2 linked regions of the Arabidopsis thaliana genome follow. The protein of the gene in region 1 interacts with the protein of each later gene in a pairwise test. Each region holds a gene or a part of one and is shown on either strand. Other genes may lie near its edges.

Region 1 (3,975 bases):
AGCCTTTTAGAAACTCGCAAACAAAGTAATGATATTCCAAAACCACGGGGCTTGCAGCCTGCGGTATGCAGATTATTCTCAATCCTCGTTGACTATTAGGGTCAAAGTCCAATAGAGCAATGACTTATTCTCATGTTGCCTCATTATTCACTGCTTCATTTCGCCCAAGTCAACTATCAGACGCTTATCAAATACTATATACTTTAGTTTTACCAAGGAAAACTTGATTAATTAACACTAATAGCAACGACCATTCTTATAAAAATGTAGCTGAGGGATGTTTGTCAAGTTCTTAGCAGTGACCATGACATCAACGATTTCGATATACACCAACTTGCTTCTATATATTTCTCAGCAAAATACAATAAAATAAATAATTCGAGAGTATCTTAATCATATTCATATCTAGCAGAAGAAAAATTCAAATCTCACTATATGATACAGTAATTTATACACAATTCTTTGTTCAGTTTTTTATAGACAAAGTCATTAGGAATTGAAAGGAAAATATTTACAGTTTACCTCTTTAATTTGCATATGACAAGAACAGCAAGCGTTGCACTAATCCATCCATATGACACGTACAAGGAGAGCCAGAGTCACTCATCCCTGTAGAACCTGAGTCTGTAACCACAGGTCAACACAGCCACTAACAACAAAAGGTATAATGAGATAGCAAAAATTCTGTAAATAAACGAAAAAGGATATAACGACTTCTTTCATTCCAAACGGAAAAATCAACAAGTCTCAGGTGTCACAACAAACATAGAATCCCCGTTACAGAATGAAGCAGTTTATATAACCACAGGTAACTCTCTTGGAAAGAACAAAGGTCATTTCCACAGACACTAGCTAAAACTGAAAACCATTGAGTATGCATACCACTATCTACCCCTTTAACGACGGCGATCTTCCCTTCTTAATGAATCCCTATCTTTTTCCTCCCTGTCGTTACGATCTCTTCTAGATTCTGCCTTCCTTTTCTCCCAATCTTGTGCTCTGGATCCCTTGTCCTCCCTTACATAATCAATTTCATCATTGTGCCTTCTAGAATACGCATTATCATACCGTCCTGATCTCTTTTGTTCCTTCATATCATAAGCATCTCTTGACCTTGGCCCCATATCCTCCCTATCCACTCTTTCTCTCTCTTTAGGGCGGCCATACGAGGCATCTCCATCACCCCTTCCTCTGTAACTTTTCTCTTCCACATCAGGTTTGAAATCTCCTCGATTGCCAAAACTTGTACCACCCTTTTTAGCACCATTTAACTTGTCTTGATCCCACTTGGAACTTCTATCCTCTTCATGACCCCAACCAGTAGTTGCAGCTCTCTGTCCATTAAAAAAGGTTTCAAGAAAATAAATGAGATAAACAGTATGTTATAACTTCTATCAAGTATTTATTCAAAATCATCTCTCGAAAGAATAGATTACTCGCTTACATACTTTTTCATCATGTGAAAATTTACAAGAATCACCACGAGTACACTCTCCTCTCTGAAAAGCTCTGCAAACACCACGACCCTCTCTATTCTTGTCATGATCCCACTTGGAACTTCTATCCTCTTCATGACCCCAACCAGTATTTGCAGCTCTCTGTCCATAAAAAAAAAGGGTTAACTTCTATCAAGCATTCATCAAAATCATCTGTTGAAAAGAATAAAGTACAAAATCACGCTTACTTACTTTTTCATCGTGGGAAAATTTGCAAGAATCACCACGAGTACACTCTCCTCTCTGAAAAGCTCTGCATACACCACGAGCCTCTCTATTCTGGCGTCGCGTCTCTTCATCCTCCTCTTCGTGCTTTTTGTATGCCCCACAATGGTCCACCTTAATGGTCCGTCCCAACACAAGAGCTCCATTCAGATTATCTACAATCACCAAAAACAGAACCCAATTACAAATCCTAACACCTAAAAAAAAAGTAAATTTCACATGTACAAGAGTCAGTTTCACTAACCAACAGCAAGAATGGTACTTCTCTGATCTTCATAAGCAAGAAAAGCAAAACCTTTAGATTTACCCGTTCCCTTGTCTCGAATAAGATTGACATCAACAATTTCACCATATCTGCAATTCCACAAAACAAAAAGACATTAAACCTATAAACCCATTAAAAAAATTGAAACTTTAGAAACGAAACACAACACTTACTGAGAGAAGACGGCGAGAAGATCACCTTCGGTGAGATCGAACGGTATGCCTCCGACGTAGACATATGCAGAGTTTTTGTACTTAGCGTGCCATGAAGCTTCATCAGATATTCCTAAATCTGATTCCCTAGCGTTTATCTTCTGTAGATTCTTCACCTGCGTCAATGGATTCATCTTTTCAAATTTCTCTGCGTTCGTTGCCGGGAGGAACCCTAAAACTAGGAAATGAGAGATTAGCCTGAGCGGGTCGGGTTTTAATGACCCGTTTCCTAATTAGATTAACCGACCCGGATTGAGGCCCATTTATTCTATTCCCTTTCTAGAATAAATGTCTAATATTATTTTTACATCTTCTACGTGAATTCGGGTATCCGTTCGGGTTCAGTTCTTTTTTTCGGATACCCGTTCAGATTCGGTTCTTTTTTCGGGTATCGGATCTATTTGGGTAGGAGATTGAGAACCATTCGGGTATTCTTAAATTTCGGTTCGGTTTCGATTCGGGTCGGTTCGGTTATTTTAGTAAAAATGTAAAAATGACCAAAAATATCCAAAATATTTTCAGGTTCGGGTTAGGTTCGGGTTTTTTCTCATATATACCCAAATCTATCCGAAATACCCGATTACCCGTAAATATATTGGTTACTTTTTATCCAAATATAACCAAATGTAACAAAAATACTTAAATTATCTAAAAAAAACTATAACATTGGTTACTTTTATCCCAAATATATCTAAATGTATATGAATTACTAAAAATATCTAGTATATTCGGATTTATAATTTTAATTTTTGGTGTTTGAGGTATTACAAATATATATATAACTAATATTTTTAGGTTTATATTTGTATTCGGGTATCTACGGGTATTAGATTAGGTCCGGGTTCGGTTCGGGTTTTTTCGGGTAGTGAAGTGTAGGATCCATTCAGGTAATTCTAAAATTGAGTTCGGGTTCAGTTCGATTATTTTTCGGGTTTTTCGGTTCGGGTATTTGGTTCCGGTTATTATGGCCAGGCCTAGCGAATATGTTCAATTTTGATATATAAAGAAAAATTCTAAAACTCCAATTAGGTTAAGTTAGGTTTCGCTAGAATAGCCTTTGAAACGTTTGAAGAAGACAATGAAGTTGTGTTTACGGCTATTGTGCATCCACCAAAAGAAATTTTTGGCTAAGAAAAGGGAAGCGAAAAAGGTTAAAGCGAAGAAACTCGATCCTCTATCCGGCACCGATTTACATTCCTCTCGATCTTCAGATCTATACACTTTTAAGATTGCCTGTGAAGTCTTTATTGAGATTCCGGTGCGCCTCCAAGCTTTGGTCCTCTATCACCACCAGCCAATATTTCAAAAAACAGCACTTGAACATTACATCTTCCTCAGCTCCTCCACGTCTTCTCATTGCTTTTCAGGACTTTCACGGTAAAAAGCTTATGTTAGTCTCGTCGCCTAACCCATACGTATCTTCCTCTTCCTCTTCCTCTTCTTCATGTTGTGTACCTTATAAAGATCTGAACGTCTTTAAAATTAATGGGAAACTAGTGTATAATGCGGTTCGGGGCTTGATCTGCATAAGTAGACTAAGTATGGGGATTTGTAACCCTAGCACAAGGCAGCTTCAGTTTTTTCCCCAACTCAAGTACAAAGAAGATCCAAAACTTTTTACATGCCCCAATTATTTTGTTGGGTACGATTCTATTGAAGATCAATACAAAGTGCTCGCAATTGATCGTTTTCATTTGAGAATGGAGCACAAGATTCTGTTATTGGGAAGAGAAGAAGCTTGGAGAGAGGCTCCATGTGTTGCATGTCCTCATGTTTC
Region 2 (6,048 bases), on another chromosome or scaffold:
CGTGAGAAAAGGTAAAAGCATCATCAGGTGATTATTCCCACTTCCAAAGAAGATTACGTAAAATTCCAATCCCTATTTCCTAGGTTTCCTTAATCTATTTATTTTTCAAAACACCAAATTAAGTTTTTTTTAGCGCATTACGCAATACTTTAATAAACCAAAAAAGCATAGTTAAAGTAAAAAATTGTTTCCAAGTGAACTAGTTTTTGCTACAACCAAAATCAAAAATAGACCCACGTCTTAGAATAAACAAGTGTTCGTATATTTGAGAGCGTGTACACCCTTTGAAGAATTTTTTTCTTATTGAGAGATGTTGATTCACCACCAATAATCAAATCCGATGAAGTAATTTAATTTCACAATGACAAATTGACAACTTGGAAAACTTTTCGTGTCCATAATCTGCAAGGAAACAACATAAAACCCCTCAAAGGGCCTCCCGGCCCATACAAAATTCCCGAACCTAACCTTTAAAGTAATAAGCATTACACAACAATGAGTGATTAGCCTGGCCCGTATAAAGTTGCCGAATCTAACCTTTAGATTACATGCTGCATCACACAAGTAACAACGATGGTTCATCATGTTTGATTTAACTTACAACTTTAGAATTTTTTTCTCTCTTTATTCGGGACCACTTCGATATTGTTAGAACAAATTTGTTCTACAAGGATGTTTCAAAGAAATTCAGATTGTATTCAATTCACAGTTAGTTTAGATGATCAGAGAAAAAGATTTGAAAGTCTAAACTAACCGAGTTCTGTTTTTGTACCGGTTTCTCAACGTTGAGTTTGGTTTTTTACTGGTTTCTTACTTACCGGCTGCATCAGACAGACCGGACAAGACTCAGGCCATACTAGTATGTATAGTTATCTCACATTTCAAACTAGAACCAGAATTCAAACTTCCTCAGTTTAGAATGGTTATCTCCTGAATCAAACCACATTTTGCCGAACAAAATCTGATTCACATGTCTGCAACGGACCAGAGATAAGCCTCTATTTCCGTTGCTTTCCTCTCATTGGTCTTCTTAATCAGATCCTTCTCAGTTCCTGAACCAATACACCAAAGATAAAACAGATCAGAGAAATAATCTTCTAAAGGAATCTTTGAATGTGAATAATGAAAAGAAATGTATTAGAGGAGCTTACCGTTACTACGGTCGACCCCATCCCAGTGTCTACCCGGTTTAATCCCATACCGGTTTGATGCAGCTTCCAACCGTCTCGTCAACCAACTATGTTTAGGCACACTTTGTGGTATAATGAACCCAGATTTTTTCATCTCCTCATCGTCTCCTAGATCCACAAGAGTTGTCTCGTACTTTCTTTTCTGCGATATAAAAACTCGGCAATACGTTAGGATAATGCTGTTATGACAAGATAATCATGGTTATTCATAATTTTGTCGTAAGCAGAAGTATTTTCAATACCTTGACCAAATGAGCCATTGGATCTCCAAATCTAACTCTTTCCTTCATCATTTGATCAAGCTCCGGATCATCCCTGAAACAACAGAGATAAACACTGTGAGAATAAATAACCAAGTAATAACAGCTCAAACTCGAGCTCAAGAAGAAGAATAAATAAAGTACCTTGTCCGAGCAAATGGCTTATCCTTCTCAAGCTCAAGTTCTTGTAGTCTAGCTTCAGCTTCACGCTTCTGAGCTAAACCTTTGCCCCATTCCAGTTTTATCTCCTACAAGAATTAGACAATACATTCGTAACTCTAATTTTCTCAGATTCAGATTATATACATATTTTGAGGAGTATAGAGTTAATGACACACAGTACCTTTGGCTTCTCTATCACTTTTTTTTGCTTCGATTTAAGATATTCCTCCTTTGATATACGCTTCCCTGCAATATCAATAAGTATCTGGGTGTGAGACATGAGATTATGCATTCTTACTGCAACTTATAACGACTAGGGACCTATAGTCCTCACCTGTGATCTTGTCACGGAACACTGCTTCTGCGTTTTGACCAGTTAGCTCGGAATCCATATTTTTAAACCTGTAGAAGAGTATAATTTGTCAGAAAGATGGTAGCCTAAAAACATGCAATCGCGAATCTCAAATCATCGTTACTGAAGACTGGTCTCTTTATGAATTCCCTATTTAAAGACACAGAAGACAAAATCTTAGAAACTTAGGAAGTAGGCAACATGAAACTTCAAGGAAATAGGAAACTACTCTTGGCCCAATACTACTGAAACTGAAACAAACCTGATGCCTATAACTAAAATGCAGTAACAGATTCTAAAAAGCTTAGTCTACTTTCTGATAATTACCTCAATTTTTCATCCTCCTTTTTCTTTCGATATTCACTTCCAATGTCTTTGCCACTAATCAATCCGGTCTTTCGTTGCTCCTTGCTTATTTGAGGAGGTGATGAATCTCTGCGTGGTCTCCTTGGGGGAGAGCTATCAAAATTGGAACTCCTGGACACATTTTCAGAAGAACGTCGCAAATCTGCGGCTTTTCTTTGAGGCGAAAGATCTGAGTCTTGAGAATCCTTCATATTTATATTCCGGCCGGGTGGAGATAAATCAGCATTCGAGCCAAAAGATTTTGAAGACCTTCTAGCTGGTTCAGGTGATGGAGAATGATATCTTCTTCTCCGTGGAGGAGATAGATCATTGCTCTTCTTTTTTACATCTGAGACAGGTGAACCATGTAAATCTCTTTTCCTGCGAGGCGGAGATAAATCATCGTCCAACTCAACAGAATCTGAACGCTTTCTGCTAGATTCACGCGATGGAGAATGAACATGTCTCCTACGAGGAGGAGATAGATCTTCACTCAGATATTTAGCTTCAGGTTCTGGTGAAGGCGAATCATTCCTGGCTTTTCTTTTGCGAGGTGGTGACATATCTGAATCCAAACTAACAGGCTTGGTATGTTTTCTGTTAGGTTCAGGTGAAGGCGAATTGTGACGTTTTCTCCGTCGTGGTGGTGACATATCTGTATCAACTCTATCCGCAACCGACCGTCTAGGCCCAGGCTCAGGAGAGGGCGAGTCATTACGAGTCCTTTGTCTACGTGGAGGAGAAATATTAGATTGTGTGTCTTCACGGTTTAGAGGTAACGTTACCCACCCACTTCCATCCTCAGCAATGGCATTATGAGCACGCCTTGCCTTAATTTCCTCCAACCTCCTCATTCGCTTAACTTCAATGTCTTCATCAACCAGAGGTGTTTCCTCTATACGAAACAAATGAAAAGAGAACACAATATGTAAATGTGAACTGTTATTAGATCAGGGAAGTGAAAGCATTACAGATGCACAAGTCCAAGAAACAAGAAACAGTCAAGCAATTTACCTGCTGAATCATCTTCGTTTTCGTCCTCTTCAGGATCAACCTGCTTTTGCCAAACTGGATCTTCGTCGACAACTAAAACACCTCTTGGTTCAGGTTTAGATGGCTTCTTCTGCTTCTTCTTCTTCTTCTTCTTCTCTACAACATCACTACTTTCATACTTCTTCAAGTAATCTTTTAAAGATTGGTTTCCTGCCATCTTTGAGAATTTGGAGCCTAAATACCAATGATAAACTTGAAAAATTCAGTCAAACATAACATCTAGACGAAGATATATTCAATTCAGGAACCAGAGGTTCAAGCAGGAATTAATGGCAATGCCACCGTTCATCATCTTAAGAGACCGAATTATAGATATAGCTTTCAAAACCAAATCTGGAATCAACAATTAGTTGCTAAACTCAAATTAGCATCAATCAAGCCCTACGAAAATGAGACTGAATCGAGAATAACAAAAGAATGCTTAGTCTTATATCGTCATCAAATCCACAAATTTGCATCTACTCAAAAGCGATTCCAGAAAACTAGAAAGCTAAACGAAGACAAGCATACATTCATAGAATCGTAAAATTACTAACCTGATCGGAAAATTAACGCCGGAGATGACCGGGAAAATATCAGTAACCCAACGCGAATAGTTGAAAATGATAACTCGGAGAGCTAGCTCTTCTAGGGTTTTTGGATCTCCTGGAGACGAAGAATAGAGAAAAACTTAAGTTATGGCGGAATTTGAAATTTCAAGCAATTAATAGGGATTGCTTTTGTAATTCCTAATATTAAGACATAAATAGGGGCATTTTAGTATTTGCACACATTGCTGAGTCGGTCTTTAAAAAGCCCTTCACTATCACATTGACTTCAGAACAATTAGGGTTAATCTCTTCCGTTGCTTTTTTTTTTCAATCCGCCGCCACTTTTCGTTTCTCGTAGCGTTAAAATGGCGGTATCGTACAATGCATTAGCTCAGTCTTTAGCGAGAAGTAGCTGCTTCATCCCCAAACCTTATTCCTTTAGAGATACTAAGCTGAGAAGCAGATCCAATGTCGTATTCGCGTGCAATGATAATAAGAACATTGCTCTTCAAGCTAAGGTAAACATCTTCTGTGTAATCTTAACTTATAGATAGAATGTTCTGCAATGGAATCGTGTTAAGTTTAATTGTTATCTAAGAACGATTAGAATTTAGATTGAATATTGAACCAGACATTGTCAGGTGCTTACTCTTTGACATATGAGTAATTACTGTTACATGTCGGGTAGAGAAAAAAGAGAGAAGGAAAAGCTTTTTAACCTGAGCTTCATTTTTAGAGTTTGGATTTCTTTTTTAAGATGCTCATCGTTTGCTTGGTCATCTGCATTTGGTGATGCCTGAGCTACATCTGTTCATCACATTTTATTAAAGCATTTAAGTATATTGTTATGCCAAAAGTAATTTAGTTCTATGAACATTGTCTGGAGTAAATTGTATATGTAAAGTTTGGATTTTTGCCAGAGATGGTCAGGTTCCTACCCTTTGACATGTGGGTTTGGACTGTTACATCTCTGGTATAGAAAAGAGAGAGAAGGAAAGGCTTTTTGATGGTTTCCATCTTTAGGTTTGGATGTCTCTTTCAAGGTGCTCATCGTTTGCTTGGTCATCTTTGTTACGTGATGACTTGGCTCCATTTGTTCATCACAGTTGATATCTTTTCAAGGAAATATGTATTGTCTTGCGCTCTCAGAGTTGGATTAATTCATCACTGAATTACTGTGATGCCTTCCGAAGTAACTTATGTTTTAATTTAGAGAAAAGGAGGTTCATGTAAGATGTGTCATTTGTTAATCTATTTTAGTTACGTCATGTACAATTGAGATTTGGCCAGAGATGGTCAGGTTCCTACTCTTTGACAAATGAGTTTGAACTGTTACATCTCTGGTAAAGAAAAAAGAGAGAAGGAAAGGCTTTTTGATGGTTTCCATCTTTTGGTCTGGAGTTTTCTCTAAAGGTGTACATCGTTTGCTTGGTCATCTGAATCTGTGATGGCATGGGCTACATCTGTCCTCCACAACCTGAATAATCTTCATTGAGACATTTCTCTTTTGGCTTTAATATCTAGTCCGATAATGCATTTACTGTTTATACTATTAGAGAGGGGCTTGTTTGATTGAAATGACAATGTTTTTTTCTGTGTTGGTAGTGTTGCCATTGTGCCTTTTATTACTGTCTCAATAAGCAATGTATATGCGGCTGTTGTGTTCCCTGGTAGCTAATCATGGTTTCTGTTGTTTTCTTGTGTTAGGTAGATAACTTGTTGGACCGCATTAAATGGGATGACAAAGGATTAGCTGTGGCAATAGCACAAAACGTTGATACGGGAGCAGTATTGATGCAAGGCTTTGTTAATAGGGAGGCCCTCTCCACAACCATCAGTTCTCGGAAAGCTACATTCTTTAGTCGATCAAGATCTACCTTATGGACTAAGGGAGAGACATCCAATAACTTCATCAATATTCTTGATGTGTATGTTGATTGTGATCGTGATTCGGTATGTTTGCGTGGACCACAGATATGAATCAATGCAGTGTTATTCTTCATAAACTCATTGGTCTCTATTTTCTCAGATTATTTACCTTGGAACACCTGATGGACCTACCTGTCACACAGGGGAAGAGACTTGTTACTACACATCGGTTTTTGATCAATTAAACAATGATGAGGTTTGCCTTTGTTGAATTTGGTTTTTACCTT

The links. Proteins that work in one complex are often made in the same cells at the same time.
Region 2: the proteins of AT3G47120 (region 1) and AT1G31870 interact in a two-hybrid assay, tested with the Arabidopsis thaliana proteins (one large-scale study listed by BioGRID).

Annotation. Positions count from the first base shown.
Region 1 is NC_003074.8:17,350,438-17,354,412, forward strand, and holds AT3G47120 (RNA recognition motif (RRM)-containing protein), read right to left. Parts: upstream 2,402-3,975; 5' UTR 2,333-2,401; coding exon 2,160-2,332; intron 2,076-2,159; coding exon 1,966-2,075; intron 1,877-1,965; coding exon 1,689-1,876; intron 1,599-1,688; coding exon 1,449-1,598; intron 1,335-1,448; coding exon 897-1,334; 3' UTR 524-896; downstream 1-523. Other genes in the region: AT3G47130 (F-box associated ubiquitination effector family protein), read left to right, coding at 3,277-3,456, 3,512-3,975.
Region 2 is NC_003070.9:11,434,740-11,440,787, reverse strand, and holds AT1G31870 (pre-mRNA-splicing factor of RES complex protein), read right to left. Parts: upstream 4,070-6,048; 5' UTR 3,899-4,069; intron 3,537-3,898; exon of another isoform or gene 3,520-3,536; coding exon 3,324-3,519; intron 3,205-3,323; coding exon 2,292-3,204; intron 2,015-2,291; coding exon 1,947-2,014; intron 1,859-1,946; coding exon 1,794-1,858; intron 1,699-1,793; coding exon 1,595-1,698; intron 1,506-1,594; coding exon 1,433-1,505; intron 1,333-1,432; coding exon 1,152-1,332; intron 1,053-1,151; coding exon 967-1,052; 3' UTR 513-966; downstream 1-512. Other genes in the region: AT-IE (histidine biosynthesis bifunctional protein (HISIE)), read left to right, coding at 4,258-4,410, 5,600-5,845, 5,922-6,017.